Arabidopsis thaliana: one gene and its partner. The protein of the gene in region 2 interacts with the protein of the main gene of each other region in a biochemical or structural test. Each region holds a gene or a part of one and is shown on either strand. Other genes may lie near its edges.

Region 1 (6,907 bases), on a different chromosome or scaffold from region 2:
TCCTAATTCCTATGTTCGGTGGTTTTGTATAGTGTGTCTGAGGCGAAGTTTAATGCTTCATTACACGTTGACCGAATAGAGTTCGATTCTCTTTATACCGAATTATTTCGGTTTGGAATCTTTAATTTGGTTAAGTGATGAATATATGTTTAGGAATTTTGTTTTCCGGTTTACTCGGTTCAAGGTTTTAGGTTTTTCGGTTTTAGAAAAACTATATCAGAATTTTCTTTCGGTTAGTAATTAGTTTGAACCTTTTCGATTTTGTTTTGGTTTTGGTTTAGGTCAGTTTGAAAATCTTAGATTTGTTTCGGTTTTGCATTGGAGATAACATAGTTTAAACAAATTTAATTTTATTTAAGAATTACAAAAAGTTATACATGCAAATGTTTTTTTTATATACATGTTACAAAATTATTTTGTAGTCCTGAAACTTGATGTATTCAATTCAGTTTATTCGGTATTGAAATTACGTTTAGCTTACAATTCGGTTCATTTCGATTCAAAAACTTTCAGTTCGGTTTGATTTATATGCCATCCAAAATTCTTACCTCACTTTGAAAATTCAAATATTGAGTAATGTGGCAGGCTAATCAACATTTTCTTTTGCATTTCATATTTTTTCTTTACATAAAAATTACACACTCAACTTCACATCTATATCAACATTATAAAACGACAAATAAAAAACAAACCCAAGAAAAGAAATTTTTTAAAAACAGTGAGTCATAATCATCGAGGACCCGAGAGCTCAATGGCTTCTACTACAAGAGACGATTCCTGAATATAATCCGAGTAATACCTCACACGCGGCGAAGAACTCACCATCCCCGGTGGCAATGGCGGTGGCTGATGCTCACCAGTACCGTTCTGCGTCGCTTCCCATCTCTCAGCCAAACCGTCACCTTCAAGCATCTTCATAACTTCTGACATTTTCGGTCGATGAGATGGATTGAATTGAGTGCAGAGTAGCGCAACTTGAACGATTTCTTCGAGTTCTACTCTATCGAACTTGTCATTTAGATCTTTGTCTATTAACTGCTTTAGTTTCCCTTCTTGGTGCAGCTTCTTCACCTGCCATTTTTAACAATCTCATTTCTCAGACCAATAAACCAAACCAAACCAATTCCAGATCAAGCACAAAAACAGAACCAAACCGAATCCAAAATAACAGTTTAGTCTTCAAACTATACCGAATTCAAATCAAAGATAACAGAAAACCAAACTGAGTCTTTTATCAAGCACAAAAACAGAACCAAAATTTAGCCAAAATCACGGCTAATTTATATTTTGTTTTGGTTTAAGTTTTCTATCAAACAAGACTGAACCGAACCAAACCACAATTATGAACAATAGCTTCAAGATTCTAGAAAGTGAAACAAGAAACAGAGAAAAGAGACTTACCCAGTCAAGCATTACACCTTTCTGGTGTGCGGATCTGCCAAAATCAAGAGCTTTCTGACCAGTAATGAGCTCAAGGAGAAGTATGCCAAAGCCAAAGACATCAGTCTTCTCTGAGGACTGACCCGTGGATAAGTACTCAGGTGCAATGTGGCCAACAGTTCCACGGACTGCAGTTGTGACATGAGAGTCTCTATGGTCTAGAAGCTTAGCTAACCCAAAATCACCAACAACTGCTTCGAAGTCCTCATCTAACAGAATGTTAGCTGCTTTCACATCGCGGTGTATAATCTTCGGGTCACATTGCTCGTGTAGGTAAACTAGTCCTCTCGCTGTCCCAACCGCTATCTTCTTCCTTCTCGACCAGTCTAATGCTGGCTCTCCACGGATATTATCTAAACAAAAAATGTAGCAAGATGGAACTATTAAAAACTTGCAAAAGAGCATGAAGAAATTAGCAGTTTTTTTGGAAACTGCATTACCTTTTAAGCGTGATGCGACACTCCCATTTGGCATGTAAGGGTAGACTAAAATTCTCTCCTGGTTGCTACTACAGAAACCGCGGAGCCGGAGGAGATTGCGATGAAGAGCCAAACTTATAGTCTCTACTTCTGTCTGAAACTGGACTTCTCCACCCGCAATGTTACAGTCCTTGAGACGTTTGACAGCCACCAAAGTTCCATCGTTTAAGTGTCCTTTGTACACAATCCCGTATCCGCCTCTTCCGAGAATGTTCTTCGAGTTGAAATGATTGGTGGCAGATCTAAGCTCTTTGAATGTATACCTCTTCAAGTGCCCTAAACTCACTTCTGGATCATATTGTTCTGCAAAATATTAATCATCAAGATGCAAGTGTCAGTTTTGCTCTGCACAAAATGATGTGAAGCCGATAGTATTTCAAGATACTAACCATTAACGTCAAAAAATATTTGCTTGTTACGGCGATATCTCCACCAAAGAAACATTCCGCTTGTAAAGAAAACAAAAAATGCTGCACTGAAGCTTGCGGCAAATGCAAGAGCAACGTGATGGCCATTGGTACGAGTTCCTGATTCATCTAAAACAGAAAGAAGAACCAAAGATGGAAGTGATGAGATACATTGACGCAGAAGAAGAATAGGGAGCTATGAGAAGCAGATGCCTAATACCTGGACCATCTTGTGGAAGCGTGAGAGGCTCGGGAACAGCAGAACAGTTTGAAACAGCTTTTGGGCCACAGATTAACGCATTACCAATTACCCTTCAGTTTAAGAAGCCCAACGCTGAATCTTAGTTTCAGCTTCAACGGAAAGATAAGTTCTTGTATAAGTTTAGTAAAGCTTACTTGAAAGTTCTGGCAGAAACTTTTGGCAGCGAACCACTAAGATTGTTATACGAAATGTCGCTGCACATTAAGAATCAGTAAAAAGTAAGTAAATAAATATTCTCCCAATGTATGTTTTTCCACTGTGAACAATAGAAAAAGCAGGATTTAGAGACTTACACTAGAGTGAGTCCCTCAATCTTGGATAGAGACTCAGGGCAAGTTCCTATAAGACTGTTATTGTTTAACCGCCTGAAAATGAAAATGACAAGAACAGAACAACAGACCACTCAGAATTGAATTGGAATTTTATAAACATGCAACAAAAGAATCATTGTGAAACCGTAAAGGAGCACTCACAAGTAATTCAAGTTCTTGAGTTCTCCAAGTGAGGCCGGTATCTCCCCGGTGAATGAATTGTTCGAAAGATCAAGTGACTGAAGCTTCTCCAACCTCCCAATCGTTTCCGGAATTGGACCAGTGATTGCATTGTTTTGCAACACCCTAAACAACAAAACATTAAGCTCAACAAGAAGCAAAACAGAGAACAAGAATCACATATAGCAAAGACTAGAAAAATCTTACACTGATTGTAAATAGGTGAGGTTTCCGATTCTAGGAGACAATGTACCAGACAAGCTTTGGCTAGGAAGATCCCTGTTTCATTAAGAAAACAAGACAAGTCTTAAAGATCTATCTGGTTTTTTTAATCTAATATACGAGAAGAGAAGAGAAGACTCACAGTGAAGAGACATAGCCATCAGTGCAAGAAACCATTCTCCAGCTACAAGGATCAACTGAATTCACATCCCAATTCTCAAGAACTTTGTACGGATCATTCAATTCATTCTTCACAGCAACCAAAGCTGTCACTGCTCATTTCAGACAAACAAAAAGAAAGAAACTTCAGATTGAAAGAACAAATCTAGCCTCAAAACTCCTATGAATTATCTTATTGCTAAAGCTGCATTTTTCGAAATTGAAATCTTATCCAAGAAAAACCCAGTAAGCTTATATGCAGTATAGTTTCACAGAGAATGAAGTAAACTTGAGCTGCTATTGGCTAAGGTTATATGAGTCTGGTGAGCATTTAAAGCTGTGATATTTATTATCCAATAAAGAAACAAAAAAGAACCTAATCCACACAAACATTCACCAGAATTTTCGGAACAACTAAACAAAATAGACAAAACCAAAGATGATAAATTCATAGAGAAAAAAATTGAGATTTCTCCAAGAAGAAAAAGACTAACCTTCATAGTTTACACCAGTAGGAGAAAGTGTAGCAGAAGAGATATCAAAGAACCATACAAAAACCAGAAATCCTAATCTCCACACCACAAATCTCACACCTTCCATATCCCTTCTTAAAGCAATCAACTTTGGTCTGAACAAAAACAAGTTTCAAAGAACCCACCAACTCATTTTTCTCTCTCCCATATCTGAAAAAAAAACTTAGCTTTTGTCTACTTTTCTTCTTCTCTGTCTTTATTTAGACACAGAAACTAATTTGAGCAATCCATTTTCCAGCAATGGAACCTCTCTTTCTCTGTGATTTCAATTCAAAGGAAGTAAAAAGGAGAAGACCCCAATTGAAAAATGACGACTTGCAAGTTACTCAGCTTAGAAAGAGAGAATTTTTGAATGAAGAAACGATTAAGAGAATGAATGCTAAACGAGCTGTGACAAGAGATAGAGAAGAGAGAGAAAACTCTAAAAGTGTGAAGAGAATTTTCCCGAGAAACCAAGCAAAACAAAAGCACCAAAATGCTCTGAAAGTCTGAGAAATTTTCCTAGAGATCTGAAAAAAAAAAAGCTATTGAGTGATGAGTGATACTAATAGTGCTTCTTGGTTTATATTTTATATCATTTTTATGACTTTGGTAGTAGTTGTTATTGAATAACTAATCTCTATAACATTCTTAATTTTTTCAAAAAAGGTTTGCTTCTAATTCCACACCACTATTACCAAATCATCTAATCTCTCATCTGCCTACTCTTATCATTCACACCACCAATATAAAAAAGGAATTTAAAAATAATAATCATGAAAAGAAAGGGACCAAACAAGCAAAATCCAAAATGAAAATGCCAAAAAATCCACAAACACACACAGAAAGATACTGACAGAATAACAAGAAAAGAAGAGACTCTCTGTTTTTCTCACTTTTTTATAAGTTTTGTTAATTTATAAGCTTTTTATATAAAACAAAATTACTGTGAGGTAAAAAGAATAGTACATTTTTTTTGTTTATGTTTTCATGATTTCAGTTTGAATCCTTTTTATTTTCTGCTTTCGGACAAATGTTTCAAGAAAACACTTTAATATACAAAAATGTGATTAGATTGAAGAGATGGGTCACATAGATGATAAAAGAAAAAACATAAGAACAAGGACATCTCTCTCTTATTTTAATATTTTGCTTTTTAGAAAAAGTTACCGAGAAAAAAAAAAAGTTTTTTTTGATGGGCAGATCACGTTCATGGCCTGTCTCCTATCTTGTTGGCTTTTTCAGGCTTCAATTATTTTACCCCTTTTTGAGTTTTTGATTAAAGGATAACATAATACTTCTCTTTACTACACAAAAATGTAAGCGTAGACGAATTCGTTTACACAAATTTTGTAAGCGTAGATTATGTTTTGCCCACTTGGGATGGCTAAATAGATATTGCAATCTCTTTCCATGACCAGAAAAGGCCCAGCTCAATGAAAATATCCAGAGCTATCACTAAAAACGGGCCCTGATTAATAGAAAAATGGTCCAAATTTTTGAATAGCCAAGTCTAAAAATGGACATGTCTATGACTGTCGATATCCACTTCAGCAAATTGCTTGCATCGTGTGTAAAAGGCTTAAATGCTTCTGATTCCATATCGTTATTTCCTAGTAGAATTTTTGGAGTTGCTAGATAAAAGTTGATTAAATACGTTTTCTTCTGATCTAAGTCAAGAAGAAGATGAGAATCAAAAGAGAAAATACCAAGTAAGAAAAAAGAAGATACTTGTTCTTTATTTATGAATAGTAAGATACATTAGAAGTGAAACATAATCCAAACACGTCTCAAACTCAAGAGACGCTAAAGAGTATTTTGAAAGTAAGTGATAAGATTGTAAAGGCTTATGCAGCCGCTGTGATGTACTGGATTGCCTCCTTGCATATACCTGTCATTGTTGCTTCAGGACCATACACCTTGAAATCAAACAGACATGTAAAAACAGTTAGAAACTGATTAAGCGGGAATGTCTTGAGTTTATTCATTGTGTGTCTACATACCTCGATGGGGACACCGATTTCGTCTCCAAGTGATCTCATTTTAGCAAGTCCCTTTTGGTAGTTTGGTCCTCCTCTCCTCACAAATATATGCATCCTTGCTGCTTTCAGCTTTGCTTCCTGTAAACGGTTAAAGCATGGTTCATTTATACTTGTAGTCAAGGGGCAATGAAGTGTTTGTGGATGATTCTACTCTCTTCTTGCTTACTTTTTCCTTGAGAGCTCGGATTATGCCATTGAAGGTAGCAGCAACATCGGTGAAGTTAGCAATTCCACCTCCAATTACCAGAGCCCTGCTTTTTCCATCCGGATTCGCTGTAGCACACTGAAGAAGCAGTATTATCATTCAGCACCACGACCAAGTCAGGAGTGACTTTATTTTCAGATGCTTTATTGGCAGAAGTTAAAGCAGCATCTTACATCAATGACAACTCTGGCATACTGCAAAACCTCGTCTTCTTTGGGTGCTCCACTGTATTCAGCATAATTGCCAAGCTCAGATGCATACCCGAGATCTCCAACCTGGATAACATTTCAGTAAACACTTTAGAGGCTAAGGCTTCTAAGCAGAAAAATGCAGGAGATTCTCGGTGTTCATATAAAAACATACGGTATCAGCATAGATGACACTTGCACCTCCTCCAGCTACCATAGTCCAAATTCTTCCCTTGGGATTCAGAACAGTGAACTTCAAAGAGGCACTTGTCTGCATATACAAAAGGGTCATAAGTCATAGAGAAACTGGTGTTTCCAGAAGCGTCAATTACTCTACGCTTATTGGTATGATACCTTCTCATCTAGACCGTGGATGAAGCTCTCTGTTGAACTCATCACTCTTCCAAATGGCATGGGAAATTCAATGTCGCCCCACCTGCAAAACGTAAGAGGTTAATCATACCGCCCAAACTCTTGACTTATCATGACTTCTTAAAGCT
Region 2 (6,595 bases):
GATTATCAGCATGAGGATGAGGAAGAGAGCGGTGCTGATTTTTCGGTGGCTGTTGGATCGACGGCGGTGGCTTCGAAGGTTATATTTCCGGCGGAGGATTTTCACCGGAGATGAATGTATTACCTAGGGTTTGTCTTTAATTTAAATATATCTCCGTTTTTATAATAATGTTGAGAAAGAGAATAAGTATATCCAGCAGACGTATACTATACATGTAGAGTTGTCGTGAAATATTTGAATGAGATATATGCATGTAGTTATTGGTTAATTATCATACTAGTTGGAATTAACTGAATTTACATACGAATCCAAATTAATAAATAAGTAAAGGATTTGATGATCCAACACCAGCCATTATCCTCTATTTTGATTTCTTGGACAAGAAGAATCAATCAAGCAAATCTTTTCTAAACCCTAGAAATCGGTTCCATCTCAATTTCTATATACAATTTTAATTTATTTTCGCTGAACAAAACAGGAAGAAAAAACGATTGAATTTTCCAAAATTATCTCACCATTGTTGGACTTGTATTCCTTTTGAAGAATAAAAATTAACCGACACTGTTCTTTTAAGTAAAGTTTATAAGAAAAATTAACTATATTATTAACTGTTATGATCGTTTAAGCTCAACACAACTAAAGACAAAAAAACAAAAACAAACATCAAATTACAAACAAAAAGGTTATGTTCTTTCCAAAGAGTAGTGATCAGTGAACAAGACCAAACAAAAACCCTCGTCTCTCTACCTCTCATGTTCTTCACATCCTGCAATTACAACCACACAAATAAGTCTCAGATCAATAAACTTATTCAATCTCAAATCTTTAACAATCAAATTCTATTCTGAACTGAATCAATTGATCATAAAAGATCGAGTTCAAAAATACCTGAATCTCGGGGAGATTCGAGTGTTGTTACGTGTAAACGAGAGGGAGGAGGAAGAGAGGAAGCAGCAGGAGAAGGCGAGCCGAGATTGCTCGAGGGATTGCTGTTTTGTAGCCAACCTTCTTGAACTTGAGAAGCAAACTGAAGATTCCACAGGACATCTTCAATGGAAGGACGTTCTAAAGGGTCTTTAAGGAGACACCTTACACATATCTCCATCATTGTCTTCAGTGATTGGTCTGAACAAGCTCTATGGACCGTTGGATCCACCATGCTCCTACGTGCTCCATCATCCGCTGAAATGCTTGCTTGTAACTACAACAAATAAAAAAGAGTTTTTAAAGTAGATGATAGCGATTCCACATCAAGCTACATATATATCGAATGGTGTTACCTGCTCTTTTAGAACATCGACTTGACTCTTTGCTCTCAATGGTCTTCCCACTATAAGTTCAAGCAATATCACTCCAAAATCATAGATATCGATTTTATCTTCGTCTTTGATGCTGTTAAGAAACAGAGGATTAAACCATATAAACCGGTTTACAAGCTGATGAGAAACAGAGGATTAAACCATATAAACCGTTTTTGATTCTTTTGAGAAACAGAGGATTAAACCATATAACCGGGTTTACAAGCTGATGAGAAACAGAGTAAAGAAGATTATTACACACCTTGGAGTGCCTTTAGGTCCGCTCCGAGATCCTACTTGCCCCACCTTAGAAAGGAAAGCAAAAGAGATTCAAAATTCAAGAAACAAAAACATTCGAACTTTTGACATCGTCATTTACCTTTCCAAGACCTTCCACAAGCAATGGAAGATTATAGCTACTGAGTTTCGCCGCAAGGTTATTGTCAAGCAAAATGTCTGTCATTTTAAGGTTGTTATCATAAACACCAGGCACAATACCGGTATGCAAGAACTGGATCCCTTTTGCTACACCTATCGCTACGCTTATGCGTTGTTCCCAAGTAAGCAATCTTCCCATGTGCCCATCTAGCACAGCAGAGACAAGAACAATCCGATTTAGTTATTAAAAAATATATAATGATCATCTTCATTCTTAAAACACATGATGTTTCAGTGTGGTACCAGAAATCCAGGTCCTGAGTTCTCCATTTGGGACATACTCAAAGACAAAGAACATTCTGCTGACTGTTGAATCATCCAAGTAGCACTCGAAGCAGTGCCCGAGCACACTAACCAAGTGACGGTGCCGCAGTTTAGCGATGAGCTCAATGTGATGCATCAAGTTTTGTGTGCTGCAACTTTTCTTCATTTTCAGACACCTAATTGCCACAAAGGATCCATCTTTCAATCTCCCTCTATAAATCTGAAAAGAACAATGAAAACAAAAATCTTGTTTGATTCAACTGTTCAAAAAATGGAAACTAGCTAAAGAAAGATTGAAGCTTCACTGCTGTACCTGTCCTTGAGAACCTTCACCCATGAAAGCAGAGGATTCAAAGTTATTTGTTGCATACTCGAGCTCCTCCAGTGAGAATGTCCTGTAAGCTGGAAGACCGAGCCCTCCTAGCTTCATTGTTTGAGAGATATACCCTTCAAAGTATTGCAGTTACAGCACAAGTTATCAATGAAGACAAGTTCTATGTAATCTATGTGACAATATGTGAGAGATATTTTATCCTCTTACTTGCATCTGATAGTAGTTTCGATGTGTACCCCATTGAAGCATTCTCTCTAATCAATCTTGGGGAAGATTTCGTCACTGTTTTCTTAGCATTTAATCTCCTAAGAACCACAAATAAGGCACCGGCGAGGAGAAGTACCCCGAGAATGCTTGCGGTTACACCTAAAGCAATACCCACTTTGGAAACTTTGTTCCTCCTCTGTGGTAGGATTCCAACAGCAAGAGCTTCATTACTACAAAAAGAAACTGGACGTTGATCTTCATTCGTAGTAGCCAAACAGTTGCTTGCATAGACAACATCTCTGCTAGTGCCGGAACTCGGTTTAAGGCAAGTAGGCAAACTTCCGGTAAGAAGATTTGATGACATATCTACAAACATCAGCTGTGAGTTGCAAGAAAGATTTGCTGAAAGCCGCCCGGTGAGTTTGTTGTGTGAAATGTTCAAGTAAGTTATCGCGGGAAGAGACATCAAGGAAGTAGGAAATGGACCAACGAATGTATTGTAGGAAAGATCCAAATGTTGAAGCTGATACAGAGAACTTACTTCTTCAGCTGAAACTGCAGATCTAAACTTGTTCTTGCTGAGTATAAGAGTAACCAGCTTGTTACTTAACCGAGGAAACAACGGTCCAAAAGAGTTTCCTTCAAGATCAAGCACTTGAAGGTTTGTCAAATGGCTTAAATCAGGCAAAGCTCCATTAAACCGGTTATTAGCTAAAGCAAGAACTCTAAGACCTGACAAGCTACTCAAAGAAGAAGGCAATGACCCATTAAGCACGTTCTTTCTCAAGCTCAACACAGCTAAACTCGGCAAAGAATCAATCCAATCCGGTAACTCACCAGAAAACATATTCTCGTCGAGTATAAGCGTCTGAAGAGTAGCAAGCGACGAGAGTTCATGAGGGATTGGTCCAAAGAGGAAATTGGAACTCACATTGAGAATCTCCAAAGAGGATAAACGGTTGATTTTCTGAGGTAACCAACCCCATAACCCAAGGGACACAAACGTGAGAACTTTAACATCAGGGAGCTTAACAAGAGTAGTAACAAACGAGTTTATTGAGAAACTCTTTGGTAACATATGAGTTCCATTGTCTCCTATAATGTGAAGCTGCGTTACACTATCTTCATAACACACAACGGTTAGCGAAGGGCTTGGCTCAGAATTGCAGAAATCTGTATAGTTGTTCCAGCTGTTTAACACTTTGGGATAGTAGAGAAGCTGTTGCAGCCTCAAGAGGGTTTGAGATTGAGATGATTGTAGCTGTGTAGAGCCATCAATGGAAGCTAAAAGCAGAACCAGAAGCAGTAACGGCATGCCACAATAGAGTTTCTCCATAGCCACACAAGACCATAAAACACACACAACTACTAAATAAAATCATATAAGCATCATCATCAAAACCTGCAAAGAGAGAGACACATTTCATTCAAGAATCACATTTATATATAATGTACTTACAAAACAGGGTCCACTCTCAAGATCTTGATATTTTAACCACTTTCTCGTTAATGCATTAAACAGAAGAGAATCTTAGAAATCAATCTTCAAACTAAAAAAATATGATTTTTGCATGTGAATTCCAGAAAAACAGGAAGAACTCACCACATGTGTTACAGAATCTCCTCTTTAAGACACCTTGCAAGAAGAAAAGATGCAGGAAACTTTTGAGCACAAGAGATTAAATTTTATTTTTCCTGGAAACAAAATTTGGTTTCATCAGAGTAAGAAGAATGAGAAAATGAAAAGACAAATCGTTTCCTTTGAGATGAAGAAATACCTCTGCAAACTTATGAAGTAACTGTGAATGGAATATCGATTTTATCTAAAGAAACAAAAAAAGTAGCAACTTGATTTAAAGAAGAAAGTGAGAAAAGTTCCCAAGAAAATCCTCTGTAAGAGATGAAAGTTCCTCAAGGAGCTTTAAAAACATTCAAGATTCCTTCACGAGTGATTATTATATCTTATAAGAATAAAACAGAGGATACTCTGGGAACAATATTAACCCAACAAACTTTTTTTATTTTTTAAATAGACAATAAACAAAAACAAATTCTGTAAAATCAATGCAAAAACATTTTAGCAACCATACGATTTAGTAAATTGTCAGTGGCTAACGACAGAGAGTTTGGTCCTCCTCTCTAAGTCTCCATCACGAGATGAAGACAACGATAAATTCTTTTTACAAAAATAATTTTAAAACAAACAAACAAAATAGAAATAGAATTTTTTTGTCCAAAAAATAATCTTGTAAGTGTTCACATGCATTTTTAACAAATTAAAAAAGAAAAAAAAAAAAGCGAATCCAACAGGGTCTGGCCGACGTTTTTTTCTGATCTTTTTATTTTTGGTTGTCTCACTATTTATACAGTACACAAAGTAAATTATTTTATCAGCATTAAATATGTTCATATTATATTATCACTTTCAAAAAAATAGGGACCAAAGAGAAATCCACTCCAGCCAAAGCTGTGGCCAAGAAAAAGTAAAAAGACAAAAAAAAAAAGAAAGATAAAAAGGTAATGATAAGAGAAATATTCTTTTAGGGTTTAGGCCTTTAGGGGGATGATCTACAAATACGAGTCTGAGGCAAACAAGTCTTTATATAGTATAGATTTAATTTTGATATTTTTTTAAAGTTTCTTATATGAATATTAATTTGATTGAGAAAAGTCTGTCTATCAATTAATTGGGTATGCTAAGTTAAACAAGATTAATCAAGAATGAGTAAACAAAACCAAGTAAATTAGTGTAACTCTAATTTTGTTTTGAATTTTGATCATGTAAGAAAGCTGAAAACAAACTAAACATAAAAACCACAACAACTACACCGGAATTTTATCAAAAACTAGGCTTAAAACCAAACTGAAAGAAAAAAAAAAGATCCATCCAAAAACTTAAATCTGAAAGAGGTAATATATATATTTAAGGTGAAAATAAAAAGAAAGCGAAGTTGTGACACATACTGTAATGTAAGCTTTCGCACGAAGGCATCTCCATCAGAAAGGTCACACCAGACTTTTAAAGTGACACATGTAGGTCCCAATCTTCTCCGACCTTTTCAAAGTTCAAGAAAACAATCTTAATACAACAAATTAGCTCACATATAATATGATCAATAAAGAATAACATGCAAGGAATTGGAAATCAAATTAACAAACAATTTAAACTAAACTCGTGTATTTAATCATATTAAATTGAAACTAAGGCATGATGTCTTAATCTCTTGACTACTCTCACGTGCCATGAGTGATTCATCTTTTTATTAATCTTGTAGTTTTTTTTAATATGATTCATAGTTGCAGGTATAAGAAAACAAGTAAAGTAAATGCTTACAAACATAAGAAAACAAAATTCTGTGAAATTTTAGTCCACCTGGTTTTATATAAGCATCTTCTTCTGTTAGATTTTTCTGTGCATCGTTTAGGAATAAATATTTAATTTTAATTTATCTTATTTTTTTCCTTCATTTTGCGTGTTTCATTTTTTGGTTAGTTTTGTTTTGTATCTGTTGGTTGCATGTCTCAATAGTCAATGTCGTCGTATACAATCATAGTTTAAATAAAACTAAAAATTGTTGGTGCAGCTTATAATCGACTAGCCAACTTTAAACAATACGAAATAGAACGTGGTAATTTCCAATTTCGATTTCTTTTTCCTTAACAAAAAAAGATTGATCTTTAATTTGGTAGACGAAAAGAAAATTAATAACGGCTAGAAATACATTTATACGACTATTTTAACTGGTAGTGAAAATTGATCGACTGGCAACTATAAAATTAATATATTATGAAAATTTATTGGCTAAGTGAAGTAATTTGAGATTATTTCATAGAAATACATTTATACGACTATTTTATGTTTTTTTCTTGATTACTATCATGCATTCATATGTTACATTATTCTGTTTTTATCACATAAATATATATACACTACATTAAAGTGATTTGTAGAAAGCGAAAGCAAATACTTAATTAAGACGTACGTTAGAGCCTAGAGGAGTGTGTGTGTGTGTGTCATTTTCGTCTTGCGGTGTAATAAATTAGGTTAGATGGT

Evidence for each region. The genes of interacting proteins can lie anywhere in the genome.
Region 1: the proteins of AT3G03770 (region 2) and NIK3 form a complex in vitro, tested with the Arabidopsis thaliana proteins (one large-scale study listed by BioGRID).

What each region holds. Positions count from the first base shown.
Region 1 is NC_003070.9:22,382,872-22,389,778, forward strand, and holds NIK3 (NSP-interacting kinase 3), read right to left. Parts: upstream 4,896-6,907; 5' UTR 4,061-4,895; coding exon 3,955-4,060; intron 3,831-3,954; exon of another isoform or gene 3,574-3,830; coding exon 3,444-3,573; intron 3,359-3,443; coding exon 3,287-3,358; intron 3,206-3,286; coding exon 3,062-3,205; intron 2,954-3,061; coding exon 2,882-2,953; intron 2,783-2,881; coding exon 2,723-2,782; intron 2,639-2,722; coding exon 2,547-2,638; intron 2,456-2,546; coding exon 2,309-2,455; intron 2,223-2,308; coding exon 1,881-2,222; intron 1,794-1,880; coding exon 1,402-1,793; intron 1,072-1,401; coding exon 730-1,071; 3' UTR 522-729; downstream 1-521. Other genes in the region: ACLA-2 (ATP-citrate lyase A-2), read right to left, coding at 5,820-5,891, 5,976-6,092, 6,181-6,297, 6,393-6,494, 6,583-6,678, 6,762-6,843.
Region 2 is NC_003074.8:944,560-951,154, forward strand, and holds AT3G03770 (Leucine-rich repeat protein kinase family protein), read right to left. Parts: upstream 4,680-6,595; 5' UTR 4,320-4,679; exon of another isoform or gene 4,237-4,319; 5' UTR 4,145-4,236; intron 3,944-4,144; 5' UTR 3,878-3,943; coding exon 2,542-3,877; intron 2,448-2,541; coding exon 2,314-2,447; intron 2,221-2,313; coding exon 1,980-2,220; intron 1,884-1,979; coding exon 1,678-1,883; intron 1,605-1,677; coding exon 1,561-1,604; intron 1,393-1,560; coding exon 1,281-1,392; intron 1,202-1,280; coding exon 889-1,201; intron 767-888; coding exon 744-766; 3' UTR 518-743; downstream 1-517. Other genes in the region: LBD20 (LOB domain-containing protein 20), read left to right, coding at 1-114.